Schizosaccharomyces pombe: one gene and its partners. The gene in region 1 interacts genetically with each later gene. Each region holds a gene or a part of one and is shown in the gene's direction. Other genes may lie near its edges.

Evidence for each region.
Region 2: mutations in pca1 (region 1) and ish1 together harm fitness less than expected from each alone (positive genetic interaction), as found in Schizosaccharomyces pombe (one large-scale study listed by BioGRID).
Region 3: mutations in pca1 (region 1) and mss1 together harm fitness more than expected from each alone (negative genetic interaction), as found in Schizosaccharomyces pombe (one large-scale study listed by BioGRID).
Region 4: mutations in pca1 (region 1) and alg10 together harm fitness more than expected from each alone (negative genetic interaction), as found in Schizosaccharomyces pombe (one large-scale study listed by BioGRID).

Annotation. Positions count from the first base shown.
Region 1 is NC_003421.2:2,260,331-2,269,156, forward strand, and holds pca1 (metacaspase Pca1), read left to right. Parts: upstream 1-3,636; coding exon 3,637-4,090; exon of another isoform or gene 4,091-4,136; coding exon 4,137-4,196; exon of another isoform or gene 4,197-4,237; coding exon 4,238-4,335; exon of another isoform or gene 4,336-4,362; intron 4,363-4,381; coding exon 4,382-4,405; intron 4,406-4,445; coding exon 4,446-4,614; intron 4,615-4,653; coding exon 4,654-5,126; 3' UTR 5,127-5,327; coding exon of another isoform or gene 5,328-6,940; 3' UTR 6,941-6,975; downstream 6,976-8,826. Other genes in the region: karyopherin/importin beta family nuclear import signal receptor Sal3, read left to right, coding at 1-3,239; pgm2 (phosphoglucomutase), read right to left, coding at 5,328-6,940, 7,378-7,477, 7,540-7,590; F0-ATPase delta subunit atp5, read right to left, coding at 8,554-8,564, 8,640-8,826. UniProt on the Schizosaccharomyces pombe protein: Involved in cell death (apoptosis).
Region 2 is NC_003423.3:2,515,573-2,523,416, reverse strand, and holds ish1 (nuclear envelope Ish domain protein Ish1), read left to right. Parts: upstream 1-4,703; 5' UTR 4,704-5,113; coding exon 5,114-7,168; 3' UTR 7,169-7,292; downstream 7,293-7,844. Other genes in the region: UDP-glucose 4-epimerase Uge1, read left to right, coding at 492-494, 562-624, 793-1,794; Ran GTPase-binding protein Hba1, read left to right, coding at 2,647-3,846; Golgi GRIP domain protein Grp2, read right to left, coding at 7,357-7,844. UniProt on the Schizosaccharomyces pombe protein: Has a role in maintaining cell viability during stationary phase induced by stress response. Activated by the spc1 MAPK pathway.
Region 3 is NC_003424.3:950,412-957,738, reverse strand, and holds mss1 (GTPase mss1), read left to right. Parts: upstream 1-4,771; 5' UTR 4,772-5,135; coding exon 5,136-5,285; exon of another isoform or gene 5,286-5,344; coding exon 5,345-6,685; 3' UTR 6,686-6,827; downstream 6,828-7,327. Other genes in the region: sno1 (glutamine aminotransferase subunit), read left to right, coding at 1-93; eIF2 alpha kinase Hri2, read left to right, coding at 1,265-1,379, 1,467-1,505, 1,555-2,089, 2,154-3,384; nuclear HMG-like acidic protein Mak16, read right to left, coding at 3,665-4,511, 4,565-4,626; Ino80 complex subunit Ies6, read left to right, coding at 7,088-7,327. UniProt on the Schizosaccharomyces pombe protein: GTPase involved in the 5-carboxymethylaminomethyl modification (mnm(5)s(2)U34) of the wobble uridine base in mitochondrial tRNAs.
Region 4 is NC_003424.3:1,135,103-1,142,183, reverse strand, and holds alg10 (dolichyl-phosphate-glucose--glycolipid alpha-glucosyltransferase Alg10), read left to right. Parts: upstream 1-4,265; 5' UTR 4,266-4,452; coding exon 4,453-5,387; intron 5,388-5,429; coding exon 5,430-5,832; 3' UTR 5,833-5,988; downstream 5,989-7,081. Other genes in the region: rRNA methyltransferase Rrp8, read right to left, coding at 607-1,563; UBA domain protein Mud1, read right to left, coding at 1,942-2,736, 2,851-3,054; protein ema19, read right to left, coding at 3,067-3,618; mug64 (BAR domain-containing protein), read left to right, coding at 6,181-6,252, 6,408-6,455, 6,500-6,667, 6,782-6,989.

The DNA of each region.
Region 1 (8,826 bases):
TTCAAGGCCTTTCGTCGCCTGACAATACTGTCCGAAATGATGCTGAAAAGTCTCTTAGCTCAGACTGGATAAGTCAAAGAGCTGACTTATTATTAAACGGCCTTGCGATTTTAGCTTATCAAAGTGAGGACCCAGCTGTGCGCTCCTTTTGTTTAGTTCTTTGCCGTCGTATTTCCTTTCGCACCTTACCAGGAGACAGTGAGTTGGAAGTGTTCTCTAGCATTTCAAATGAGTCCAAACAGTCTTTGCAAAGTCAACTTCTAGCTTGCTTTGTTAAGGAGTCAGTTCCCACTGTTCGTAATAAGCTTTGTGACACAATCGCCGAGATTGCTCGATCTATCTATGATTGTCAAGGCGAATGGCCAGAACTCATTAACGTTATCTTCAATGCTGTTAACTCTCCTGATGAGTCTTTTCGTGAATCAGTTTTCCGTACCATCACTTCTTTACCTCGTTTATTGTCAGGTCAAGATAGTGCTGTTACTCCTCTCTTTACCACCGGTTTAGCTGATCCTAGTATCCGTGTAAGAATATCTGCCGCTCGTGCCTATTCTGCCGTTATTCTTGAGAGCAAACAATCCACTCGAGATCAGGTTATTCCTCTTTTACCTAGCCTCATGAACATCCTTCCCCCTCTGCAACAAGATCGTGATTCTGATAATTTGGCGGACTGTCTTATGGCCATCACTGAAATCGCCGAAGTTTTCCCAAAGTTATTCAAACCTATTTTTGAGAGCGTCATCGCATTTGGTCTTGGTATCATTAAGGACAAGGAGCTGGATAATTCCGCTCGCCAAGCTGCTCTTGAATTGCTTGTTTGTTTTTCGGAGGGTGCCCCTGCTATGTGTAGGAAATCTTCCGACTACACTGATCAACTTGTACTTCAATGTCTCTTGCTAATGACCGATGTCGCTGGCGATCCTGAGGATGAGGCAGAAGAACTTCAAGAATGGTTGAACACGGACGATTTGGATCAGGATGAAAGTGATGCTAACCATGTTGTCGCGGAACAAGCCATGGATAGACTTTCTAGAAAGTTGGGCGGAAAAACAATTCTTCCTCCCTCTTTCACGTGGCTTCCTAGATTGATCCCGTCTCAAAAATGGTCTGAACGTCATGCTGCCCTTATGGCCATCTCATCAATTGCCGAAGGTGCTGAAAAATTAATGAAAAAAGAGCTTAGTCGTGTATTAGATATGGTACTTCCTTTGTTAGCTGACCCTCACCCCCGTGTTCGATGGGCTGCATGCAATGCTGTAGGCCAAATGTCTACAGATTTTGCTCCTGACATGCAAGTCAAGTATCCTTCTCGCATCCTCGAGGCATTGGTACCTGTTTTGGAGTCTCCAGAATCCCGTGTTCAAGCTCATGCTGCTGCTGCAATGGTTAATTTCTCTGAAGAGGCCGACAACAAGGTTCTCGAACCTTACTTGGATGATATCCTTCAACGCCTTCTTACCTTGTTACAAAGCCCTAAGCGATATGTGCAGGAACAAGCCGTTACCACTATAGCTACAGTTGCTGACGCTGCAGCTAAAAAATTTGAAAAATATTTTGATGCCATCATGCCGTTATTGTTTAATGTTCTGCAACAAGCTGACGGCAAGGAGTTTAGAACCCTTCGCGGTAAAACTATGGAATGTGCTACTTTAATTGCCTTAGCTGTTGGTAAACAACGATTCCTTCCTGTATCTCAGGAATTAATCCAAATTTTAGGTAACATTCAAATGGGTATTACTGACAGTGATGATCCTCAAGCTAGTTATCTCATCTCTGCCTGGGGAAGAATTTGCCGTGTTTTAGGAAGCGATTTTGTCCCATTTTTGAGTTCAGTTATGCCTCCTCTGTTGGTTGCTGCTACCTCGAAACCTGACTTCACAATTATAGACGACGAGGTTGATGAAAGCAAATATTCTGAACAAGATGGTTGGGAGTTCATTCCCGTTCATGGTCAACAGGTTGGTATTAGGACTAGTACGTTAGAAGACAAGTGTACTGCCACCGAAATGCTTGTCTGCTATGCTGCTGAGTTAAAAGCTGACTTTGATCCTTACGTCAATGAAGTTTTGACATCTGTTGTACTTCCAGGATTGAAGTTCTTCTTTCACGACGGGGTTCGTTCTGCTTGTTGTAAGTGTATTCCTCAGTTATTGAACGCTCGGATTTTAGCTAGCAATCGTGATCCAGCTAAAGTCAATGAGCTTTGGGAGCCTATTTTACGAAAGCTGTTGGATCATATACAAAATGAACCAAGCGTGGAAATGCTTGCCGACTATTTTGAATGTTTCTATCAAAGTTTGGAAATCAGCGGCTTGAATCTGAGTCCTTCTTCGATGGAAGCACTCGTTGCTGCCGTTGATTTGCAGCTCAAAGGATTCATTTCTCGCGTGCAGCAGCGTGAGGAGGAGGCTAAAAATGGTGACATAGATATTGAAGAAGATGAGGACATGATTCTTGCAGTCGAAAATGATCAAAACTTGTTAAACGAAATAAACAAGACTTTTAGTGTTGTATTAAAAATTCACAAAACTGCTTTCTGCCCTTTTTGGGAAAGGCTACTACCGTACATGGATGGCTTTTTGTCTGGAAACGACACTGTAGCTAAGCAATGGGCTCTATGCATGATGGATGACTTAATTGAATTTACTGGACCCGATTCTTGGAACTACAAGGATCACTTTTTGCCTTACTTAGCTGAAGGTATTCAAAGTAGCGAACCAGAAATTCGACAAGCTGCCTCGTACGGTATTGGAGTAGCCGCTCAGCATGGAGGAGAGTTGTATGCTGAAATCTGCTCTAGTGCTTTGCCCGCATTGTTTAAGATGCTCGAGCTTCCTGATGCCCGTGATGAAGAACAAATTTATGCCACAGAAAATATTTGTGTTGCGATATGCAAAATTTGCCGCTTTTGTAGCCAACGTGTTCAGGATCTTGACAAAGTTGTAACGTATTGGATTAATACACTTCCTGTAACACATGATGAAGATGACGCTCCTTATGCTTACACTTTCCTTGCGGAATTGATGGAACAAAATCACGTGGCCGTTGCCTCACAAATGCCAACGATTATTACGATTTTAGCAGAAACATTTGCATCTGGAGTTTTACGTGGAAGAACTTTGACACGTTTGATGGAAGCTTCGAAGGTTTACTTAGCTCGTTTCCCTGCTGATCAAGTTAATTCTGTCATTGCCACTTTGAGTGTCGATAATCAGAGAGCTTTGTCTGCACATTTTTAAATTTCATTTCTTTCACTCTAAGTCTTTCAATATTTTCTTTGGTTCCTCAAAATGCTTTAGTTAGTTTAGGTTAGGTTAGGTTTTTATTTAATCCATCAACAATCTTCGGATTTTGTTTCACTCTTTTTAGACTATGCCGGCTAGGTTTTCACTTATTGCTTTATACATTACTTGATTTTTCATCGTATTAAATTATTTCTTCGTGTAGCAGCTCTTTCGTGTATAATACGTTTTGATGTGTGGTATGATTATAATATATTGCTCGCATCTTTTGCAATTAATTTTTTTTTTAAATGTATATACTGTAGTCAAATTGATTTTGCTTTAGTTATAACCTGTGAGATCTGGTATTTTATTGAAAGTAGCATAGTTAAGCACTATCCAACTTCCCATCAACATGAGCTACAACTCCAATCCTTATAACGGTGGGCAATATCCACCATATAATACATATACTAGACCTAATTATTCACCAAATAATGGTTCTCAAAGTAATAACACTGTACATCAATATCAGCCTCCACGTATGCCACCCCCTTCCACAAGGCCTCAGACAGACGGCAATTCTAATCAAATCCCTATGGAGAATGTTGGTCATATAAGTTTGAGCTCTGCAAACTCCCATGCTTATGCCCCACCCTCAGGTCCGCCTCCGAATACTGGTGCTAATTCTTATGGCAACCCAAATTATAGTGGGCCTCAGCTGCCAAACACTCAGACTCAATCTTATAACTTAGCAGGAGGAGGAAACTTTCAGTATCAGTATTCAACTTGCCAAGGGAAGCGAAAGGCTTTGCTGATCGGAATTAACTATCTCAATACCCAAAATGAGTTGCAAGGTTGCATTAATGGTACGGAATGCGAAAGGTCAAGTAAACATATATTAACTTGTTTAAGATGTCATGTCTATGTCCCAACTGCTGATACAGCGCTACGGTTACAAGCAAGAAGATATGGGTATGGTTGATTACGAGAACATCTTGCTAAAACTTTTTTAGTTATTATGACAGACACGGCAAGCAACCAAAGGGCAATTCCCACTCGTCAAAATATGTTAGATGCGATGAGATGGTTAGTAAGTGATGCCCAACCTAATGTAAGTTATATGTCATGGGATTTACTTCCTAATGCTAACTATTTAGGATGCATTATTTTTTCACTATAGTGTAAGAATCATCACTTTACATCTCATACTCACATGCATAGGGCCACGGAGGGCAAACAAAAGACCTTGATGGAGACGAAGTTGATGGTTATGATGAAACGATATATCCACTGGACCATCAATATGCCGGGCAAATTATAGATGATGAAATGCACGAAATAATGGTTAAGCCTTTACCAGCAGGATGTCGTTTAACAGCTCTCTTTGACTGTAAGTCAGTGATTTTAATCTATTTTTAACAAAATATAGCTTGTCATTCAGGTGGAGCTCTCGATCTTCCTTTCACGTACTCTACCAAGGGCGTTCTAAAGGAGCCAAATATGTTAAAAGAATCTGGTATGGATGTACTTCATGCTGGCCTTTCTTATGCCTCTGGCGACATTATGGGAGCTATCAACAACGTGAAAAATATATTTACCAGTGCTACCAATGGATTTAATAACAACGCTCTACAGTACTCTAGACAAGTTAAGTTTTCTCCTGCTGATGTTATTTCTTTATCCGGATGCAAAGATAATCAAACAAGCGCAGATACAAGTGTTAATGGATTCGCTACTGGTGCTTTATCATACGCCTTCCGTGAAGTCGTCACTCAAAATCCCCAACTTAGCTACTTGCAGTTGCTGAGAGGTATTCGACAAGTACTTTCCAACAAATACTCACAACTGCCCCAATTAAGTTGTAGTCATCCTTTAGACATGAATCTTGCCATGGTTTTATAGTACACTAAACATTACTTGATCATTGAAGTTCTATATTTTTGTAGTTCCATCAGATATTTAAGGAATTTTCAATTAAGGATAAAATTTAAATCACAACAACTCAGGAAATCATATCTAATACTTTATTGAAATATTTTTGTTTGCAATTTATAATTTTGCTTAAAAAACGAGCTCAAATTAAAATTATACACGCGAGAAAACTCATGGCTCTTCCAGTCCGTTCTGTTGGGGATGAAACCATTCAGATTTGATAGCCTGTTTAACTTCTGTAGCATTCTTTATGGAATCTTCAAGCGAATGTCCGCGAGCACAGATATAAAACTTAAGTTTCGGCTCTGTACCACTTGTGCGAATAGTCATAATTACCTCTCCATTTTCAAGCTCAAACGTTACGTTATCTGAACTTTTTGAAACTGGTAAAGTAGCTTTACCATCCGTGGAGCTTGAGTCGTAACCTGTAGTAAGGTCGCGAACATTTGTAATTTTCTTACTACCAAGGGTTGCCGGATAACCCGATTTTGTGTCATAATGTCTCAAGGCATCAACCAAAGCACGAAGCTTGGGAGTGTCGCGTGAAAGGAAATATGAGTTTTGCGTAGTGTAATAACCATATTTTTTAGACATTTGCTCAAAAACCTCGGTAATTGAAAGATTCTGAAGTTGAAGGCGTTTCAAAAGATGAAGGAACGTAATCAAAGCATTAACCCCGTCTTTGTCTCTAACTATACTACCTACCATATAACCAAGAGCTTCTTCATATGCCAATCCAATAAATTTCCCTTGTTTTTCCAATTCTAATGCTTTATTGCCTAACCACTTAAATCCAGTAAGTGTTTCAACATGATGGAATCCTTCTACTTTGGCCATGGACTTTACCATAGCACTAGAGACAGTAGTTGACAAAACGTAAAAATCATCAATTGGCTTTCCAACGTTTTTGTATTCTTGAAATATAAAATAGGCAAGGATACAACCAACTTCATCTCCGGTAAATCTTCTCCAAGCACCATTAATTTTTTCTGCAAAGGCGAAACGATCTGCGTCAGGATCAGTTGCAAGGACATACGAAATACCATTAGCATCAGCTTGCTCGTAAGCCAAATCCAATGCCCCCTCCTCTTCTGGATTTGGAAATTTCACAGTCGGAAAGTCAGGGTTTGGAGAATCTTGAAGAGGTACAGAAATCATATCGCCTTGTTCGCCAAATAAGTGTAATGCTGAAGTAACAAATGGTAATCCAACGCCATGAATAGGAGTGTAAACAAATTTCAAAGATTTCATTTCCAAGGAAAAGTTGTTTTCGGAATGGAATTCGTGGAGCTGAGACCAATAGTTTTTTAAAAGACCAACTGCAAAATCCCGATCTGCTAGTTTATGATTTTCAACCAAATTTTTGTCCCAAGTAATGGGCGTTAAGTTTTTTTCTATACATGCAGCAATTCCCTTGTCATGGGGAGGAATGATAGCACAACCGTTTCCCCAATAGACCTTGTATCCGTTATAAGCTGCGGGATTATGGGAAGCAGTAATCATAACACCAGCTGCAGTCCCTAGGGTTTTAACGGCAAAAGGGACTAAAGGGGTATGGACAAGATGATCGAAGAAATACGTTTTGAATCCTTTTTGCAAGAACACTGCAGCAGTAAGTCGAGCAAAAGTATTAGACTTATGCCTATGATCGTGTCCAATTACCACACCCAGCTTTGCAGCTGATGGTACGGTTTGAAGCAAATACTCAGCGAAGCCTTGTGAGGCTTGAATCACGGTCAAACAGTTCATGCGAGCGAAGCCAGCACCAATTTCAGCTCTCAAACCTTTGTAAACATTAGTAAATGAATAAACGAACTTGATAATGTTAAAACATTAAGATGTATAGAGAGAACAATCGCAAGCTGAAAATCTAATTACACTTAAACCAATTTCGTACAAGCACGTTATATAACATTCCAAGCAAAAAAGACCAAAACAGATAGAAAAGAAGAAGAAGAACGAAAAACTCTTTCTGAAATATGACCAATATGATCATCACAATAAATTAGTATACGCAGTAAGGAAAGTGACCGATGATCAAGTATATCACTTCGACTCTAATCAAGGAAAACACAATAAAGTAGTTTAAGCTACCGGCTGTAGCACTGAGAATTCTTTATTAAGAAAGAGGCATTATTTAGCGTTCTCTTTCAATCCACTTCAACTTGCGAAATATCTCTTAACAATCTCAATTTTTTCTTCTTTTGTAATAAAAACATACCAGATGTACCAAATCCAATCCTTGGATGCATAATTTGCTTGAGGGTGGCATAATCTTCAGCCTTAATCAATTGTGAAACTTCATTCCTCGTAGTTTCATCCTAATGCGTTCAATCTGTTAGTTCCACAGTACTTCCATAGTAAATATAGTCCTAATACTTACTTGATCTAATTTGAACCACTCATCTACTAATTCTTGCAAAATCGGATCCATCTTGCCAAATGGGAATTGTTACCATTTGTTTGCTACACACACAATACACGTATCTCATCACCTCGTTTAACGCGTCCTTACGCCGTGGTATTTCGTATCCGTTTTCTTACAAAAATGATTTTAATAAAATAGACTCAAAAACAAAAAGTAGTAATAATATTATACTCATGACCTCCAATTATTCTAGAGAATTTCTTAAAACATTAGCTGCAAAAAGAAGCCTAGTAATTTGAAAGCAGCAGTTAATTACGATATATACCGCTTACAAAAAGGAGAAATTGGAAGAATTCAAGACCTGACGTCAATTCGCAAGCTGAATCGTTTTAATTAATAGGCGTCGGACAATGGGATTCACTTAGGCTTGGCGACGTTCTTGTCTAAAAATTGCTTGTCGGAATGTGTCATTGAACCGAAAAGGTTTGAAGCTCTTGACTAATAAACAACAGTAACTGATGTTAACTTTTTATAGAATATCCCAGGTTTCAATTCAACACGTTTATTCATAAATCTCAATCTATGTTATGCAGATGAGATTGAAAATCAATACCATCAAGTACAACTTCTCTAAACTGAACGGGTTAAGTATGGAATGGTTTAAAGTTTTAAGTACTGGATCACTCCAAGCTTTGAGATACGATAAGAAAATTAGTGTTAGTACATTTGTGGCTTTAATCACACCTTTTCCATAACCAGGAACTAAGTTTTCAAAGATCTACTATTCGATGATGAAAAAATAGCATTCATAAAGTTGATAACAGCATACATAAATGAAACTGAAATATTGAGGAGGTAAGGCAAACATGATGACCATAGTTTCAATTGACTATGTAATACGTACTATGGCTCATTAAAACCTATCAAAGAAAGAGAAATACGAATAAGAGGAAATTCAAGCCTGTTTAGAATGAGAAGAGAATAAAGATTGGGTTTTGGCGAAGGATACGCTGTTGCATTAAAACAGCCTTAAATAGGTTCTATAAATGGTTAGCATGTAAAAAAAATTAAAATTGAATCATGAAAAAATATTAAAAAATAATAAAAAAACCTACCACTTAAGAGCTTGTTCAAATTGTTGAGACGAGAACCAACACTGACATCAAGAATATTATCACCAATTTCAACAATTAGTCCACCGATGATAGAAGGAGTAACTTTATTGCTAACCAGTAATTTACCCTTGCCATATTTCGATTTAGCTATCCGAGATTCGAGACGAGAAAGGATCTTCGAATCTAG
Region 2 (7,844 bases), on another chromosome or scaffold:
CAAGGATTTTGTAGTCGCATGAAGCTGGTGGTGAAATCACAAACATTACATCTATCAAAGTGTATATTGGTTGTAAAATCTCGAGTTCATCTTTTAAAAAAATAAATACAAAAAAAAAATTTATTGGTAAATGCACATACATTAAATTACTACCTCAATGCTTTATGAACATGAAAAATCCATACACCTAATCACAGGCATTCATCTGCTATACACTTATTCCGACGACCTCTTTGTTACTATATAATATTATGATTAGGAATTTTTTAGCGATATATCAATAAAATGGTTTAGCGAGATATACAAGCACTTTTCACTTTTAGCTTAAGCTTCATTGTGGCTTTTGCTCGTTTTACATCATGTCAGGTTACAGGAGGTAACGACCTGCATTGATACCTTGAGCATGTAGGAAACTGAATATCCAACAAAGAAAGAGCATAATAGCTACAGTCTTGAGCCCACCCCTTTAATATCAAATTATAACGTGTAAAATGGTATGAATAACTTTTTTAATTAATCAAAAGCATTCTTTTGTATGAAAATACTAATTATGATTCATAGACTGGTGTTCATGAAGGGACTGTGTTGGTTACTGGCGGCGCTGGTTATATAGGTTCTCATACGGTACGTAGAGAGCTTGAAGATACAGAAGAGGATTAGTAATGTACATGTAAATGTTTTAAGCACGCATCTTTTGTGAATATAGCTTGCTGCTCTTTACTTTTATACAATTTCGTCCATATTCTATAAAGCTCTTTTTTGAGATATTTTGCTAACCACAATCTGCAATAGTGCGTTGTTTTGTTAGAAAAAGGATATGATGTTGTAATTGTCGATAATTTATGCAATTCTCGCGTTGAAGCCGTGCACCGCATTGAAAAACTCACTGGGAAAAAAGTCATATTCCACCAGGTGGATTTGCTTGATGAGCCAGCTTTGGACAAGGTCTTCGCAAATCAAAACATATCTGCTGTCATTCATTTTGCTGGTCTCAAAGCAGTTGGTGAATCTGTACAGGTTCCTTTGAGTTATTACAAAAATAACATTTCCGGTACCATTAATTTAATAGAGTGCATGAAGAAGTATAATGTACGTGACTTCGTCTTTTCTTCATCTGCTACCGTGTATGGCGATCCTACTAGACCTGGTGGTACCATTCCTATTCCAGAGTCATGCCCTCGTGAAGGTACAAGCCCATATGGTCGCACAAAGCTTTTCATTGAAAATATCATTGAGGATGAGACCAAGGTGAACAAATCGCTTAATGCAGCTTTATTACGCTATTTTAATCCCGGAGGTGCTCATCCCTCTGGTGAACTCGGTGAAGATCCTCTTGGCATCCCTAATAACTTGCTTCCTTATATCGCGCAAGTTGCTGTAGGAAGATTGGATCATTTGAATGTATTTGGCGACGATTATCCCACATCTGACGGTACTCCAATTCGTGACTACATTCACGTATGCGATTTGGCAGAGGCTCATGTTGCTGCTCTCGATTACCTGCGCCAACATTTTGTTAGTTGCCGCCCTTGGAATTTGGGATCAGGAACTGGTAGTACTGTTTTTCAGGTGCTCAATGCGTTTTCGAAAGCTGTTGGAAGAGATCTTCCTTATAAGGTCACCCCTAGAAGAGCAGGGGACGTTGTTAACCTAACCGCCAACCCCACTCGCGCTAACGAGGAGTTAAAATGGAAAACCAGTCGTAGCATTTATGAAATTTGCGTTGACACTTGGAGATGGCAACAGAAGTATCCCTATGGCTTTGACCTGACCCATACCAAGACATATAAGTAAACCATACTCTTCCTTTTCGGATTAAGTGGGTTTTAAATAATTTCCTTCTCTTTCTTGATTCAAATTTGCATAATATGTTTTAGGACTTATGGATTCAAAGACATTATAATGTATTGTTTGATGAACCCTTTTCCCTTTCCTGTACCTTAATTGTTTATTGTAAGTGCGCTCGAGCTATCGATTAGGTCGCTAATAATACCGGTTTGCGAATAACTTATGTTTTAAAAGGGATTTAACAATGAAGCTTATTTCAAAACAATCACTTTCGGTTTACATTTTTATTTCTTTCTTTTGCATACGCATTTTCGTCAAGTTGACATTTTTTCTAATATTGAAGTTTCTTTATATTTCACCTTTTAATTGTATTTTTTTATTCAAAGGTTCTACTTTGTCAATCATTTTCAATTCCTATTTCGATATAGCTTAGATTTTACAATAATACTTGTTATAATACTGTCTATAACTTTTACGTTAGCCGAAGATTAGAAGTCAAGCACCGTATTGAAATCAAAATTATTAATAATGAGTAAGTGAATATATACCAAGGTTGAATGTTTTTTAACTTTTTAAATAGACAGTTATGAGATTTGCACTTCATGACATGCTAGATTAGCGTTTTTTTTCAAATGAATTTAAATTATTCGCAGCTGTTCAATGAATGTAATCGTATAATTAAATCTTAAATCTTTAAACAGCTGTGTGTTTGATTGAATCCACATTCGTCCTCATGTACTCATAGCTAGGTGAAATATATTAGGCTTTCAGTGATTCGGGATTCCAAACTACACTTAATACCCCCAACATCAAAAATTACGAAAATACGATTAAGCAAATAATATTTAAGTGGATATAATGACCAGCAAAATGGAAAATAATAAAGATGAAAGCATTTCTACCAAAAATGCGTTAGAAGAAAAATCGAACGAAACAAAAGACGAAACTTCAAAGCGAAAGCACGATCCGGCAGAAGAAGAATCAGCGGTTTCCACTAAAGTCTCGAAGAGTGAACCGCTGGAAGATAAAGGGAATGCTGAAGTTAAGGAATTTAAAGAGACTACGAAGAGCAATGGCGTAAAACCGGAGGTTGAGATTACTGAGTCTACTAAAATCCAAAAGGAATCAAACACGGAGCCATGTATCTCAACTGGAGGTAAGGTAGAAGAAAAAGAATTGAAGGTGAATAAGGATGTTGATGAAAATGAGGGACACGTAGCTGTAGAGACAGGCAAAAAAGAATCGGCTGCTAAGCCTGCCGCGAGTGTTTCTCCCTTTTCACAATTTGCTTCATTCTCTAATGCCTCGTCTCCATTCTCCAATGTTTCAACCGCCTCCTCTGAACCAAAAGAAGAGAAATCAGCATTTGGTGCTTTCGCTTCTTCAAAGTCAGCGTTCACAATGAAGAGCGTTAAGGATAGCCCATTTAAAAAGTTTGCTGCAGGAACAGCAGTTGAAACAGAAAGTGGTTCTGGCAAAGAAAAAGAAAATGATAAAAAGAGTTCAGAGAACTTTGACGAGTTACTTGCGAATACGTCAGCCAAAGCATTCGAGAATCAGAAAGGTTCAGCTGGTGAAACCAAATCGGAACCTAAGGAGGCTGACAAGGGTAGTGGAGACTCAACAAAGTCTACTATGCATCAGTTGAGTGATTCAGAAATCATCACTGGGGAGGAAGAGGAGGAATCAATATTCAGTGTTCGCGCAAGACTTTATGTTGTTGCTGATGAAAAAAAGACTTGGAAGGAACGTGGGCAGGGAATTTTGAAAGTAAATGTTCCCAAGCAAAGGGGATCAGGCTCAGGCCGCCTTTTGATGAGAAATGATGCCGTGCATCGAGTTATAATGAACGTGCCTCTTTTCCAAGGCATGTCGAAAAAGTCATTACAAATTGCATCAGCATCTAGTGGTGGTTCTGCTAATTACTTAAAGATCTTCGTTATTGAAAATGGAAAATCTGTGTTATATGCTGTTCGTGTCAAAGATAACAGTTTGGCAGAACAACTACGCAATCACGTTTTGGAAGCCATTCCTAAGGGTGGAAGAGAAGATGCATGAGCGAGATAGAAGATCCACTCGTAAAATAGTAAGTACTTTTCGATTCTTTTTTAGCTCTTCACTATGGTTCTTATTCATTCGAAAGTCCAAAAATATTATATCTATATGCAAAATATGTCACGCTATAGGACGGGTTAAAGTTATACATGATTTAAATGAGCCGATCCTATTGACTTTTAATAATTGATTTTCCGGGTCAGTCTATTTCTATACACTCGTCTTATCATTGGGAGGCATACCTCTATAACTACAGTTTTTCAAAATTACTAACAATGTGTACATCACAGTACGTATTTTATTTCCTCCATTTTTACCTAATTTAATCTTCATATTGCTCAGTACGCCATCTTGAAGGAGCAGAGAGTAGTAAGTTTTGCGATCGTTTGTCCTTTCAAAATTGTGATTTTATCCACCATACAACCAGATCATCGCACTTCGAGATTTTTATCTCTCTATGTATATTTTTTTCATTTTCAAATCATGAACTATGGCCGATTGCTGCTAGCATCAATGTGATTTTACACAGCAAATACATCTAGCAGCACTCTAACATATAATCAAAATTTAAGATTGCTATAATACTTTAAATACGATATCAATCACCAAATATAATTTTATTCAAGAGTATCTTAAGTCAGATTGTGCGCTATCGTTAATTTCCTTTAATCCCTAGTTACTGATAGTTAAACTCATGATGTATTGTCTCCCCTTCAATTCGTTCTAACGACGTTTCTTAGGACTTCTAACTAACGAACCTTTCCTCATTAATTTCGAGGGAGTTTACGTCAGTTAGATTATCTGATGCAATGCCTTTTTTTAGCGTATATATAACATGCTATTGCCTCTGGGAATTCCTCGCTTTCCAAGTAAGCTACCTATAGTAATTACTAAATTTTCTCTGTTTCTTTTTTAACTTGGAGGTTATTGTCTCTATAATCCTTGATTAGGATTGTTTTGTTTCTTCACTTGTGCTCTTTGTATTCCATTTTAGGTAAAACTTTGGTCTAATACATACTGTGGTAGTATTTAGAACTCTGGTTTATTTGAAATTTGTGTTAAATAGGATTCTTTAAAGTGGGTTATTTTCATCTTCCGACATACCTTTCTCATTATCCCTTAGTTTAGTGATTCAAAGTTCAACTTACCGTTTAGTAGGGTTTACTTTTTTAGTTCCCTCAATTTTATTTCAAGAGGAATAATTTATATTTTTTATTTTCCTTCTTATCTATCTTCTTTTTGTGATATTTATTTATTTTGATTTGTAAAAATGCGTTCTCGATCAGTGGCATCTTTAGGCGTCTTGCTTGCCATCGTCTTTTATATCTTTACGTATGGGTTCTCTACCTATCGAAAAAACGACACCTCCGCTGTAAAGACTTGGTTAGAGGAGCACTCAATCCCATATGGATCAAGAAGCTCTCCTTCTGACTTTCAGCAATTTATCTCCGAATCTTATGATTCCTTGGTCCCTAACCTTGACAAATGGAGCGGCCATAATTTAAATTCTTGGTTGGGAAAAAAAACCGAATCTTCATATCTTGATGCTATAAGCAACAAAATTCGTAAGACGGGTCGTAAACTTAGTGGCTCTGTCGAGGATGCTCGGGATGCCACTCAAGAAGCCTGGGAGTCACAAAAGGCTTCGCTTTTCGAATCTTGGTCTGATTCACAATTGCGAGCCTTTTTAGCTAGACACAGTCCCCAATTTGCTGCTAAAGAGAAGAAAGGCATTCTGGAGAAGTTGAGTCCTGCTTCACTTCGCGAAACAGCTGCAAAGGAATATGATGCCCTCACTTCTAAATTAGGCAATACTGGAGATTGGATTTATGATACCTGGTCCGATAACGAATTGCGCACCTGGCTGCATGATGTAGGTGTTCCCATTTCTTCCCATGAAAGTACTCGTTCTCACTTGCTTAGAAAGCTGAAGAACTATATTTCTACTAAAGCTGACGAAGCCCAACCTTCTGTTGAAGCTGTAAAGGGCAAGGCTTCCGAGAAGGCAAAGCAAGCTGGAGAATTTGTTTCTGACAAAGCTGGCGATGCTAAAGAATTGGTTAACGAGAAATCTAGTGAAGCTGGTCAATATGCAGGACAAAAGATGGAAGAAGGTGGTGAACTTCTACAAGAAATTTCGAAAAGAAGGGGCAGATTTGGTAATTGGTGGGCCAATTCTGGACTAAAAGCATATTTTGACGCTCATGGTATTCCTGCTTATCAACCATCTCCAATTGATCAATTTTACGCTCACCTTCGTCGTCAGTATTACTTAAAAACAAACGGTTATCAGGCTCTAAAGTCAAAGGCCTATGAGGAAGCTTCCAACGTGGCTGACTCTGCTTCTTCTATTGCCTCTAATGTTGCAAGTGGTGCTACAGAAGCCTATCAAGGCGCTGCTTCTGGAGCCTCTCGTTTTACAGAGGGTGCGAAAACCGCCGCAGAATCGGTAACATCTGCATTTGAACATAATAAGGATACTGCCACTTCAAAAGCCAAGCAAATGAAAGGTAAGGCTGCCAGCCTTGGCTCTACTGCCTCAGAGAAGGTAGGCGAAGCTGCTGACTATGCTGCTGAAACCGCTAGTAAGGTTGCCAGTAAGGCGGCATCTAAAGTACGTGAAACAATAGATGAGACCATCATCGAGCGCTGGCAAGACTCTAAATTGAAGGAATTTTTGTTCCTTCGTGGAGTTCCGGTTCCTCAGCGTTCTACTAAGGATCAATTACTGGACCTTGTTCGTAAGCATTTCAATAAAGGCGCTGTTCCTAATTGGGCTGCTTATTTTGATACTTTGAGCTCCAAAGAGCTTTCTGCCTGGATTAAGGAATACAAAAAACATTACCATGGAAAACTTCACCCATCCAAAGATCGTGAACATCTTTTCCAAAATGCCTGTAATATTTATCGCGCTATTGCTGAAAAGGCTGACAAATCTGTTCTTCAATCGATTCAATCAAAGTTTCCTAAGGCAACTGTTCCCGGTTATGACTCTTGGTCTAATGAAGATCTAAAGTCTGCACTCAAGGAATATGGTGACAGTATTGGTAAGGTGTTTAATCGTAAAGATGCTATTGAACGCTTAAAGCGTCATGATATTTTATTCTATGGTCCTGTTGTTGCCGACAAGGCTAAATCAGGAGTCTCTGGCTTCCTTCGACGTGTTGCTTCTTTTATGGGATTTGGCACTCGCGACGTAGCTGAAATTAAGCTAGGAGAAAACATTCAAAAGGTAAAAGATACTGCCTCTAAAGCCTCATCTGCTGTATCTTCAGCAGGCGACTATGTCGAAACTAATGTAAAGAAAGCCCAAAGGGTTTTGTAAATTGTTCATGAACGTTCTTAATGTCTATTTATATTATTTAAAAAGAAGGAGATTACGTCTAAAACGAGTTCTCGTTTAATATATGACTTTTAATGAAATATCTATGTTCATATTCGCTACTTAACCTTCCTTGGCAAGTAATCCATCCTATTGTTAACATTAATATAATCCATCAAGATACTTTTTTATTAATTTAAGTTTTTCAGAATTAGATGTTGGTGCACCTCCTCCAAATCTAGAGCTGTGGAAAGAATTGGTAAAATCTTATCGCGATGTTCGTGATTCTCTAAAAATTGCAGTAAAACATTTCTAGCATATTCTTTGTTAATCAATTCTTTAGAAATATTGCTTATAACAGGTGGCTCGAATGAACCTGCTGAATCACTTGAAGCTTTGGGCAATATTTCACTGCTCATAACACTGGACAGCTCGCTCTCGTGAGATTTGACACTTTCCTTTTGAACCTTTTGCTTTTCAATGAGTTCTTTTATTTCATCCCTTGACTCCACTAACTCGTTTCCAACATTCCTGAGCATATCTTGAAGATTTTCGTTTTCTTCCTTTAGTTTGCAGACCGTTTCATCAGATTTCTCTAATCTTTTTTTTATATCAAGGTGCTCTTGCTTCGTATTTAGAGCATCCCTGTTGTAGATTTCTGCCTTCTGTTCGGCTTCGT
Region 3 (7,327 bases), on another chromosome or scaffold:
ACATCGTTTCACCCCGAGCTGACCGCCGATAATAGATGGCATGAATGGTGGGTAAAAGAGCGTGTTTTACCTTTAAAGGAGAAAAAGGATTAGTTTTTTAAATTCATGCCTATAGTTGCATGTTGTATAATCCCACAAAAAGAGTTGAGACAGGTAAATGCCTCACTTATTATTTTAGTCAGTCATTAAGTTTTAAATAATAAATCCTTTTAGATTAATTTTTTAGATTTTAAGTGTTAATTGTTATTTGCTTTCAATCTTTTCTAGGTTCATTTGCGCTGCATAAGTTGCTGTCATTTCCATTGCTAAAAGCATATAGTTTGAATACATTATCAGTTAATCAAATGTTTATAAAAAATGCGCATTATTTTGGGTAATATAGATACACATTCCATAGAAAATTTAACCGAAGATTAAATTTTAGTACACTGGAATTATTCAGTAAGTGATAAATCAAAAATCAAAATTAAGAAAAAATAAAAAACTCCGTTGCGGGGAGTCGAACCCCGACCGCGTCGGTGAAAGCGACGAATCCTAGCCGTTGGACCACAACGGATTCCATGTGCTCTTTACTACTTAGTATAATTTAATATAAAAATTAAAGAATTGTTTATGAATGTGAAATGATAAATTAAATTGTGTCAAATCAAAATGTTTTTTCCTCACATCATGCTGGCTAATGTAATTAAATTTAATAGTTAGCTTGAAGTGCTCGTTCTCTTCAATTTTCCTTCTTACTATCTTGAGGTAAAACTAATGAATGAATTAATAATTCAAATGATTTCTGTCCACAACATTTATCTGGTAATAAAATATATCAATTCTTTAAACAAATTGGTTTTATAAATTCAGTTTCGAGCTGGATTCTTTTTGCTTTGATTTAGATTATAAATGTATCTTTGGCTTACTGTTTACGATGCTAATTTAAAAATTGACTTGCTTTTTCACGAATGAAGAAGTTCAAAAAAGAAGACTGATTATAATTACTTATCTGAATTTTTAACAGTACAAATACATACTTATCGTTAACACGACCATAGTCAGTAGAAACCATGTATTTTAGCTGTAGAGTTAAATTCTCCTAATGTTACTTTCATGATCTGAAAAGTCAACCACAAAGTTTCCATTAACAATTCTCTAACCTTCCATTGTAAGATACGAGATTAGCTGGTTGCGATTAACGGGATTTTGACAAATATTTTGATAAGTGCAGAAAAAAACTGGTTGTTTTCTTAATGCCTTTTTCACTTCCATCATCACAAATATGCGATTTTTCAACGCTCACAAGTCAGCGGAAGATGGGAATTACTCAGAGACAACAAATGCAATAAGTTTAAAAAATGAAAGACAATCAAGGGATTTGTCTGTCAATAAACATGGTAGGAATTAATTACAACTGTGTGTATAAAGCAGTTGACGAACTAAAAATATTGGTCATTGACAACCTAAGCTAATGTATTTATTAGGGCGGATGCTTTTAACTGCTTTGTTGGAAAATTTTTGTCGTATGTCTAAGCTCTCGTTTCATGTGAACTACTTGCTTACTTATTAAAGAACTGTATGACAATAATCCTGCCAAGTCCAAACGACTTTTTGCTTTAATTTGCCATACTCTTCAAAAAATAGGTATTTTGGAAGAAGAATATATTGAAGAACTTGCAGCCGTTAGATCCAATTATCAGGATGCTTTACACCATTTGATTCTGCAAGCGCGTGAGGCAATCCGTCTCGACGATGCTGAAGAGCGACTTTTAGCACTACCCGATCCCACCAATGTATTTGAAAAATTTCCACAAGAAACTGCTCTTTCGAAATTCTCTGTAGATGGATTAAATGTAAGACAGTTCCGATTCCGTGATCTTACGCTTGAGAGTTGGTTACAGTCAAGAAACTCTCGTTACATAGAGGACTTTGAGGAGTATTCTTTACTAGGAAGAGGTGGATTTGGATCAGTATATCACGTACGAAATAAGATTGACGGTGCTGAATACGCAATGAAGAAAATTAATTCAACATTTCAGCAAATGTCTTATTCCAAAATATTTAGAGAAATCAAATGTCTAGCAAAAATGGATCATCCAAATGTTATGTAAGCATCATCAGAAGGACTTGTTTTCATCGCCTTCCTTTTATTATTTCTAACATCGGCTTAGTCGATACTTTTCGAGCTGGGTAGAAAGCACCACAGAAGCAACACAAATGCCGATAGTAATGTCTAAAAATTCTAGTAGAGTACTTGGAACCTCAAGCTATTGTGATGTCAACGGAATGGACTCCATAATTTTTGAACCAACAGAATCTTCTGCCCTTACAGACGATATACTATTTGCAGAAGATCCTGGCACCGAGTCGATCATTTCAACTTCCAGAAAATCTAGCTACTCAAGCACTACTGAATCTTCTAACTTTGAGAATTTAGAAAGCCCTCGTAATCTTCATGACTCTAATGTTTCTACTTTTAATAATACCACCATCTTGGATGACGACTATTCTAGTAGCATGCACATATCTAAAACTGGACCCACTCATTCTTTTATTATTTATATTCAAATGCAGCTTTGCTTTGATGATCTAGAGTCCTATCTAATAAGAAGAAACCATTTTCTTTCATTCCCACTATGTAAGGAACAAATACAACTGCATACGGATTTATTCCGAATGATAATTAATGGCGTTATGTACGTACATGAAGGTGTGAACTTGATCCATCGAGATATCAAACCCAGCAATATATTTCTTGCTAAATCTTTACCGGAGGACCGTGGGTCTGTTCCTTTAATTAGTTATAATGATAAAAACGATTTGAAAGAATACATTACTCCTAAGATTGGTGATTTTGGACTCGTTGTTGAAAATAAAAAAAACACAGAAACCGCACTTTCTTTTCTTGAACGAAACCACTTGCCTAATCTGCAAGATGAGACTCAGCATATAGGCACTGCAACTTACGCGGCTCCGGAATTGCTAGATGCTATGTCTTCTCAGCATAATAAATTTACAAAAAAAATCGATACATTCTCATTAGGAATGGTTTTGTTTGAGCTGTTGCACCCGTTTCAAACAAATATGGAACGTGCAACAAAACTTCAAGACCTTCGTCGAGGAAATCTTCCTGAAGAGTTCGTTGAGCAACATATTTGTGAGTCAAGTTTAATTTTATGGATGACAGCCAAAGACCCCACGAAGCGACCATCACTTCTGGAAGTTCTCAATTGTGGACTATTATTACCTAACCAAGTCTCAATGCCAAATATATCAAATATTGTATCAACAAACCACTTGGATGTTGAAACTCAAATGAAACTTATAATGGATGAAAATCAGCGACTGCGTGAACAAATTGCTGTTCTACGATCCAGGATTCAACATCTTGAAACCCGCTAAACTAAAAATCTTCACTTTTTAATACTTAAATTTCCAGTCAATTTGTTCAGTTTCCCGAAAGTATAGCATTATTTATATCTAACGCTTTTATGCCACAAGTAATAAAATAAAGCAAGGATACATTAAAGCTAATTTTGTTTGTAAAAGCTCCGATAAATTCCTTATTATTAAAACCATTCATATCTATACACCTAAATAATCCAAAATAAAAACGACAAAGTAAAAACTATTGAACAGAATCCCTTAAAAAAAGATAACATTCAAAACCTTTTTTTTTTTTTTACCAAGAATGTTGAACAGCAGGTATTTTTTCATTTTCACGTTCTTGCTCATACTCAATATGAATATGAGGAGCGCGCTTCTTCCTGGATTTCTTTGCATCGTCGGTCTTACGTTTCCTGATTTTTCCTTTGTTATCCTCATCCTCATCCTCATCGGATTCAGACTCTGAGCTTTCCTCCTCTTCAGACTCTGAAGTTTCCATGGACTGATCTGAGCCGAGCCAATCTTCCAAATCAGAGATTTCTTCTTCATCTTCATCATCACTAACAAATTCTAATTCAGCTTCTTCTCGTTCCTCCTCTTCCTCGCCTTCATCAATTAAACCCTCACGTGCGGCTAGTACCTTGTTCCATATTTCTTCATTAACATTCAAAGGTTGATCACCATAAACACCACTTTTAAGTCGCTTAACCAATTCTTTTTCAATATTTTTCTCTAATTTGGCGGCAATAAGTGCTTTTCTTTCACGAGAAGCTTCACGATGCGCTTGTTTAGGCTTAATGGGAATTAATGCTGGTTGGTGTTTTAATGCCAATCGTCTAGCCTTCAATAGGTACTGAGTGAGGCGGGTTAGTCTTTGCTTACAGCGGTGGATTTGACGACCAGGCCAATACAATAACTGTTGATCAATTTGCTCCAACGCTTTAGCGTAATTTTTTGATAACTTTATCCGTTGCCAAAGTTTCGATGGAAAATGCGCACGTTCTATAGTTTTCATGTAAAGATACAGCTTTCCATTATCCTCCCGTACTGTGGCATATCTGGAGTTAGCCAATGGACATGATTGTCTATTGCACAACCCAGTGACATTGTATTCATTTCTGCAAAAATTTTGTGCCTCCCCTCTAAAAATTGTGTTAGGTTATAATGTAATACTAAAAGTGCGAAATCAACTTACTTGATCCTATATGAACAAAATTCATGACCTACAACCTGCCAAATCACCTCGTCTTGCTGCATTTTCGAGTATGGCGCTTGGTAAAGAAAATCCAATTAACAAATTCAAGAATCAACCATATAACGAATTTTAAGAGAATGCGGTAAATATTATTAACGGGAAAAATTGTAAGTAATGTTGTGCAAATGCATGGATCAAGTAGACTGCAGATATCCAACATTAAATTACAGTTGTTTAGTTGTTTGGTGTAGCGTTCGTTTTTGGGATTAATCCTTCTTTAGTTTCGATGATTTATTAATAACCATTGATACTTTTCATTAACTATATTGGCTTGCTAATCTCCTAAAAATTCTTCAATTGCAATTTACGATCATTTATACTTGATTTTTAAACTGTTGATTGATTGATTAGATAATTGCTTCCGTATGTATAATTTTGCAATAAGCTAAGAAGCTTACTGCTTAATTTTGAAGTTAACTACCAAAGCAACTAATAACGTCAAATCTTCAGTCTTGTTTGAGATAATTAATCAATTTACTACTGTTAAACTAATGTTGGAAGATAAAAAAGCATGCGAATATTAAATCGAGTCTTTTTAAATACTTTTCAAGCATGCTTTAGAAGATTCGTTCATCAAATTCCTACTATATATGCATTATCAACTCCTCCCGGTACATCTGCTGTTGCAATTGTTCGTATTTCTGGCCCAAATGCATGCAAGGTAAGGCAAATGTCTATAAATCTAGAACAAACCGATCATTTACTAACAACTAATATTAGGTAGCAAAAACACTCGCAGGAAGTGTGCCAAAACCTCGTATAGCGTCCCTGAGGACGATCAAACACCCAGTGCGTTCTGAAGTCATTGACAAAGCATTGATGTTATATTTTAAAAAGCCTTCATCTTTTACAGGTGAAGATGTTGTTGAATTGCAATTACATGGAGGGACAGCTGTGGTGGATGTAACACTTGAAGCCATAAAGCAGTCAGGAATTCCGAATATTCGCTATGCTAAGCCAGGAGAATTTTCCGAAAGAGCATTTTATAACGGTCGTGCAGATTTGACGCAACTGGAAGGATTAATAGACGTTATCAATGCGCAGACAGCCGAACAACTTTACAGTGCAAATAAAGAAGCACATGGCTCCATTTATGATATTTGTTTTCGATGGAGAAAAAAGCTTATCGAATATCGTGCTTTTTTGGAAGCGTCAATTGATTTTTCAGAAGAACATGAACTGGACGATATTGAAACGATCAAGTTGTTTGAGGAATTGAATGAAATGAAAGATGAAATAGACGCTCATATAGAGGGAGGAAAATGTAAAGAAGTTCTGAGGAAAGGTATTAATGTGGCTATTCTTGGGCCTTCCAATGCTGGGAAGTCGAGTTTAATTAATTTACTAGCTAACCGCAGAATATCAATTGTAAGTCCTCAATCTGGAACGACAAGAGATGCTATCGAAGTACTAGTAGATATAAATGGATTTCCAGTATTGCTTTCTGATACAGCAGGACTCAGAAAAGGAGAAGACGTTCAGGAAATTGAGAAAATTGGTATTGAAATTGCGAAAGCCAGGGCGGAAGAATCCCAGTTAACACTTTTTGTTTTTCCCATAAACTACCATTCTTTTTCCGAATCTTTAAAACAGTCAGAAATTTTGGAAACCATTAAAGATTGCCTTCGTCAAAGAAAACCTATTCATTTTCTAATAAACAAAGTCGACTGCGTTTCGGATTACACAACTATGTTTAAGCCCATTAAAGCTTATCTTCAGAAAAATTTTTTGATTCCTGAAAATAGAATACATGCAGTTTCTTGCAAAACAAAAGAAGGACTTATTGATTTCTTGCAAGCTCTTTCCTCTACTTTCGAGTGTATGGTCAACCCTCTTACTAATAATAAAATTCAAGCAAATTTGGGTTGGAATGAACGTCAGCGTCAATGTTTATCAAGTTGTTCCAGCCATCTTTCTTTGGCCCTGCAAAAAAGCTCAGACATCGTAGTTGCTGCCGAAGAGGTGAAGCTAGCTACCGAAGACATAGGTCGAGTAACTGGGGCAGTCGACATGGAAAACGTTTTCTCTGTCATTTTCTCAAAATTCTGTGTTGGAAAGTAATGCATTTGTACAATTATGCAAGCTCGTTGACAAATGTTAAGCTGCAACTTAAAATCTCATCTTATTTATGAATTCGTTAGTTTATTTAGAGAAAAATGGACAGACAACATGGTATTATTGGTAAAAGTCTACATTTCTAAACGCGTTCAAAACTTCAAAATACAAAATATTGAATTATTTATTCATCAAATTTATTTGCTTTCACGTAATATGTGTATTTACAATTTAGCAGCTAATGAGTTTAGAATTAAGGAGGGCGTGTTAATACTCGTTCACTAATGGCTTGAGCTGAATTAACGACATCAGACGAACCTTTAGTAATGGTAGTCAAGGATACAACGATACATAGAAGAAGTGCGGCTTTCAATTTGCCATAGCCAAATCATCAAGATTATCAGTTTCATGGAAAAAAACAGTTCTGTCGATAGTTTAGACATCAGTTTACTTGCAAGGCCATTTCGAAATCCCAATTATAAAGCACAACCTAGGCGAAATCGGAATCTACGACAAATTATTCAAAATGACCCAGTACAAAATGAACCAAGCAAATTTTCTTACTCATCGATAGAAGCACCGCCTAGTGTCCTCCCTCAACCGAAATATTGCGATGTTACTGGATTACTGGCTATTTACACAGATCCC
Region 4 (7,081 bases), on another chromosome or scaffold:
TATACTGGATGGAAAATTCTTTCTATTCTTTGACCGCGATGGATTAAATTCAAATGTTTTATCGATTCACAAGATACTCGTAATGTTGTCTTCAAAAATAAACGAATTTTGCTTTTTGTTTCAATGTGAATTTTGACTTACAAGTTAGAGGTACATATCAAATATAGGATGCTAATATAGCACAAGTTAATATTCTAAAAAAAAATCTAATAATTACTCAAAGTCTAACCCATGCACTATCAAAATAAATGATGAATGATTTGATATGACAAGCCAGCCAATAGATTACTCCATCAATTAGAATGTAGCATTTGGGTCTTTGGTATAGCTATATTTTTCATTATCAACGATTAGACACAGCCTGTGACTCTTGCTTGCTTTTGCGAATATTCACAGCTCTAACGAAACAGTTATTTCTGAAATATATAACCTATTTTCTCATGCGATATTGATAAACCTATCGTTCTTCCGTTAGTCCGTCTTCCGATTGACAAAGAGTAAACGTTTAATATTATATTATCCCAAAATTTAAAACAAAACCTATTATACAAGAGCCCCAAACCTTCTTATACCGAAAGACCAGTTCTTTCCTAAACAATACCTTGTTTATCTTCTTTTGTAAATGCAAGCACTTAATATGGGAGGGAGTTCTTCACATTTCCCGTGTACAGGTACTTTTTTGAACTCAAACAGAGTAAACATTTTGTTTTGAAGCTGAATGGACTTAGTTTCAAAGCCTAATTTTGGAAGTTCTTTAGCAAAAACTTCTCCACTCTTATCAGAGAATCTGCTTTTGATTTCAGCAACCCAAAGTAAACCACCGACTTTAAGAATACGATAAGCTTCTTTCAAAAAAGATTGCCAATTGGTGCCCATAAGACTTAAACAAAATACAGCAATATCGACAGTTTCGTCAGCCATTGGAACATTCGCAATATCACAGGCTACCACATGTTCATTGGGAGCAACAAGGTCAAAGCTGTGCACTTGCAAAGAACGTGATTTTCTAAATGTAGAAGCTATTTTAGCTTCTCCGCAACCGAGGTCAGCAATTACAATATTGTTTTTCTTCTTTGCGTTTGAATGCTCAAATCTGATCTTTAAATGTTGAATGAAAATATCAACAGGATTTTCCGGCCAACCTTCAACTTGATATCGAAAACCAGCGTGATAAATATCAAACAAATCTGGATTTTCCTTGAACATTTGTACAGCTTTGTCACTTTCCGTAGTGTACAATTGTTCATTTATCCATCGAAAATTGGCACCATCTAGTTTATCTTTCATTTTTTGTTGAAGAGACGTTAACTTAGTATGCTTAGCATCCCCCTTGTTTTTCTCTTTAATAGAAGGGACTGATTTTTCTTTTTTAATCTCGCTTTTCAGGGAATTGTTTGTGGTAACCGACTTTGCCTTTTTTAAAACTTTTTCGTTGAGCTTTTCGCCTTTATCTCCTACATTCTTTCTCTCACCTTTCTTTCTTTTTTTTTCTTTTCTAGATTCTTTCGTTTGGTCTGATGCGCTTTTACTTACTGGACCTAAGTCCCAATCTACTTTAAACATGAAGTAGGGAATAAGATTAAATTTGGTTGTAAGAAAACTTCATCCTACGTACGTCAAACCAATGAAACCATAAAAGTTTCTAAGTATTAAAATAAATAACATTCATTTTTTGTGAACGTAAAATTAAAATAACAAATACTTGAAAAAACTAATCTTGAAATATAAAACTCAGTTTGATTAAGCAATTACGCATATATATAGAATTTTTACTTTCTGATACAAAACACATAAAAAATGATATAAAACACATTAATTTGAAAGAATTCGTCTACAATAGTAGAACAGGACCGATCTTGAAAATAATCATTTCCCTAATTTTTATCATGACTAAAATCATTGATTATGTATATCCAATCTCCCCGAAATCGAATTAAGTCGTTAAAGGAGAAAAGAAGCAGCTACATCTAAATCTCCATTCGCAGCGTCTAACGCCTGCGCAGCCTCTAATGGATCAAATCCCATACTGACTAGCTGTGCAATTTTGGAGTTCAAACCGGGGTCAGTGGGAGGATTTACCAAGGAAGGGGGATTGGAAGATCCCTCATTGTTGGGTGCTACGCTTTCTTTGGTACCAAGACGAGTGCCACTTTGTGGATTAGGTGAAGAAGCGCTCGCCTTACTTGCAGGTTCAATACCTAAACCGTGTGCATTTGCAGATGGCTCCACATTAGCCAGCAATTTTGGAATTTCAGATTCTCCAAGAAAAGGAATTTCTTTTCCATGAATCCGAAGAACGTTATTTTCTAAATCTATACAAGCTTGATAACGGCGTAACATATCAAGACCAAGTAGCATATCAACATCCCGACCTTCAATAACAGTAAATCGACATGGAAGATATAAATCGCCAATCTTTAAAGGTGCACTGTGAACACAACCTAATATTTTAGCCATTCCTACGCCCTTAGCGACACCTTGAAATCTAGTGTCAAGAAGCCTGGTAAGACCGCACTTTTCAGCGCAATCAGCAGACAAAATGGTAGCTTGAGCACCAGAATCCACAAATGCTTTCACCTTATGACCGTTAATCTCAACGTTTACAAAAAGCATATAAACTTGACCAAACACTTCAGGATGGTTTTCTATTGCCGATTGCATATTCTCGGTCACGGCATTTTGACGAATCTGCTCTTCAATACGTCGTTGGACTTCAACATCAAAGAGGTCATCTTCCTACAAAAATGTTAGTAAATCACCTTCGAAAGCCCTTTATTTATTGTGTCCATTAAAACTAAATTATTGGACTCAGCAGTTTATACGGGCGCTATTATGCGAAATTAAACGTACAGAAAATGAAGGCATTCCCATCGAATATGTAGAAGAAGGAATCTGCAATAATTGAGAAGCATTAATGGACTGCCATGTAGTAGCAAACGCATTGGGATCATTAAGGACAGCAGCTAGTTGAGGAAACTCTGTGCGTATTCGATTTAATAGAAAAGGAGTTGCTAAAATCGTTTGACGAATATTTTCTGGTGTTAAATTATTCATTTTTGTGTTTTCTTAATCACTCTTTGAGGTTATGGTAGAGGAAGGACCTGATTTGGCAGCATGACACGACTTGACTAATCGGCCACCCATATCAATTGCCATCCATAAAGGAATGGCCAAATAAGGAAAATAAAAACTCATTATCATCCATTTTTTTTCAGCAAATAACTCGAACATGCAGCACCATGTCGTAGTAAAAGCATGCACCCCGTATATGAGAATTGCAACCCATAAAACTGGATCCCTCGCTTTCTTTCGTAAGCGTAGAGAAACCCAAATAAAAAAAGGAACTTGAAAGAAAAGTTCTGAAGAAAACAATGCAGTTTTCCAAGGCGCAGGGATTAAAAGAATAGGGTCTTCATATGTAGATAAATAAAAGCGTCGCAAACCAGAAAGACAGCTTAAAGAGCCTCCAAGCCATTCAGTTATAGGTAAATCAACAAATAATGCTGCAGCTAGATGGCTTACGAAATAATAGTAATACAAGGTATCCATGTGAAGGCGTGTGGTTGGCAATTTGTATATCTCACTACTATAAATGCGGCGTAATGAAACCACTTTCATGAACCCAAAACATTGATATTCCTCATTCAGAGATTTTGAATTGCTATAGAAAACAATTTTACAATTTTAAACGGTGACATTGAAAGTTATTAGTATTTTTAATAACAACTGCTTCTCTGCGTATTCTATATACGTTACTTAATAATGTATTATCGTGTTTGTTTTAGAGCACTACGTCTAAATAGTTTTATAAAAACAATACGTTAGATGTTACACTTACAAGCAATAGGAAGACGATTGTTTAGTTTCATATTGGTGGTAATCAGTATATCGAGTAATTTTGTGTGCCAATATTAAGTTAAAAAGCCTCAGGCAGATTTCATTAATTAGTTAGTATTACCGCTTAATTGCCTTCATGTACATGATAATGTTAGACCACATTACTATGAAATTTATCAAGTATTAAAATTTAAATGAAATTCAATGTTATCAGTTCTTTTAAAAAAAAATGATGCAATTAGCAGCCTAAATATAAAAAACAGACTCGTCACATTTCGTACTTAAGTGTGCATAATGTTGAATGGTTTTTAGAATGCTATCTTTCTCTAGATAACTAATAATAAAATCATGAAATTCAATTAATTTGATGTAAAAACATTGTTCTCCCACTCTTGCTATATTGTAAGCATTTGAATTCCAAACTTCCTGCCAACAACCTCAGCGAAATTTAATTCACACCTTTCGAAAAGTTGATCGTTTGTTTTGGAAATTGTGTTATAGGGTCTAAAACAAGCGAACATAAAAAGCTGTTTGTAAAAGGTGCGCCCTTTATCAAAACCTGATTTTCTTTATTCGTTTATTATAAACTTTCATTAAAGACCCAAAACACAGACAATGTTTCTTGGAAAAGCTATAATTCTAATACTATGGATTTTTCTAGCTTTTACAGGTCTTCTAGCTATACAATACTATGTTCCTAATCCTTACTTGGATGAAATATTCCATATTGCACAAGCTCAACGCTTTTGTAGAAAAGATTGGGATTGGGATCCGGCGATTACTACACCTCCTGGTTTATACTTGGTTTCAGTCGCACTCAGCCCATTTATAGGCTGCAGCAATGTATCTCTGAGGTTAATAAACTGGCTTGTAGGCGTAATTGGACTGCCATGGCTTATAAACGATATCGTTTCTCTTTTGAATAATAGGAAAGGAGATGTTGTTACCTATTTCGCTTATACGTTATCGTCATTACCTCCTTTATGGTTTTTCTCATTTTTATACTACACTGATATTGGTAGTACTTTTTTCGTCCTTCTTGCTTATGACTTTGCTCTCCGAAAGTCTGCTTTTTCAAGCTCTGTGTCTTGTTTTTTTTCTCTATGGTTTCGACAGACAAATATCGTTTGGATGGTCTTTATTGCAGTTACATATTTTGCTAGCAATATGTCTTTCTTCAATCCCCACTTAGCTGAAGCAACTTTTGCTGATGTTCTTCTTACTATAATTTCATTCTTAGGGGTTTTTCTTAAAAATTTAAGAAGATTTTCGTGCCCAATTCTATCCTATGGTGCAGTATTTTGTTCCTTCCTTGCATTTTTGCTTTGGAATGGCAGTATTGTCTTAGGCGACAAATCTCATCATCAAGCAAGCATTCATTTATCTCAAATAAATTACTTTCTGTGGTTTTTCTTTTTCTTTTCTTTTCCCTCTTATATTATAAAATATCTAATGTCCCATTCTCGACGCTCCAAACTTTTGTCCGCAGTCTTTTCTAAAAAATCTTTTTTGATCGTTTCTGTGCTTTTGTTGATAGCGCATTTTAATACGTACGTGCTAAATTGGTATTGTTTAATTTAACTAACGTTTAGAATTTTCCATCCATTTATTTTAGCAGACAACAGGCATTATTTATTTTACGTTTTCAACAGACTTTTTCGAATTTGGTGGTTAAAATATTTAGGCCCATTTTCTTATTTAATTTTATACTACTTTTTTTTGGATATATCCAAATTGCAAATGACCTCGCTCACGTTCTTTTTACTGATTTCAACAACAATCCTTACATTGGTACCGGCACCTTTAGTAGAATTTCGGTATTTCCTTTTACCCTTCCTTTTCTGGCGTTTTCATCTTCCTCTTCCGTCGGGGAGGGAATGTTTAATGGAATATGCTTTGCATATGGTCATTAATTCTGTCACCTTGTATATATTTTTATTTCGAACATTTATATGGCCATCCGAGCCAAATGCTCTTCAAAGGTTTATGTGGTAAACTATCTCATACGAAACTAAATCAATTCAATACTTTATATTATGTCAACTTCAAAAATGATTAATCTGATGAACCACATTTACTTGATTTAGTCGAATTTTTAGATCTATCTCCTTCTCTTTATTTTTAACTGTTTTAATGTAGGATTTTCTCTAAGAAGAAGTATTTGCGTTTTTTATGTATGTATTCGACATTGGTAAACAAGATATATAAAGGTGTAAATGATAGTACTACGTTTTCAGTAAGTTATATTTTGTATAACTCAAAGTAATTTAAAATCATGGTGCTCGTTGATTTTTGGTAGAGTTGGATACGATAACATCTCTGTTTTACCTAGAGCCAACAACAATGGAGACTTTCAAAACTCACATCACTGGGCAGTTTAATGCTACAGTTTCTTCAATCACGCCCTTCGCTAAGGTAAGATGCATTTGTTATATTGTATTGCTGTTTAAATCTTCAGTTAGTATTTGCGTTTTTATTACCCGCAGCCGTGATTTTATTTTTAAAGTGATCGTTTTAGTTGATTTATTCATTCCGATAAACAAGAATATCTTATTAACAGTTTATGTTAGAAAACCACTCATTATTTGCGTACAAAAATTGGATCAAGAGTCGAGGAAGTACGATAAAATAAAATGCACACGAATTAACATTTTTTCAATAGTTATCTCTTCCGGAGGATTATGTGGAATTGGAACAACAAGTTGATAGCTTGAAAGAAGCATACAATCTTGTTTTACCTATTGTTGAAACCGTAGAAGTTGATGGATACGATTATCCTACAAATTTCCGCGATTCTATTACGGATTTTGGTAAAACCGTTTCGGGAAAGGTAAGAATACTTAAACTTTATCAAATCATCGTCAAGATATCATATAAAGTGCACTGGGTCACAAAGCGAATGGTTGAATGTTTTATTGAGATGCTAACTATTTGTTAAATGCAGGTTAGAAATCTCGGAAATTTGACTCCCTTAGAACAAACGCCTTTAGCTTCAGTGGGAAAAAATTTAGAAGAAAAAGAGGCAGCCGCGAAGCCCTCAAGAACTCTTTACAATGCTATTTCCCGTGCTGCTTCAGAAGCTACGACTAAGATGGGGGCTGGAAATCCTCTATCAAGTGCCTTTGGTCAAATCTCCGTTTTAGAGGAAAAAGGTAAGTCAAAATTTTTTTTGGTTTTAATTGCCTTGTTGTTATTTTTATTAGGAAAAATTTTGTTTGCAATTTGTTCAGGCATACCAAAAAAA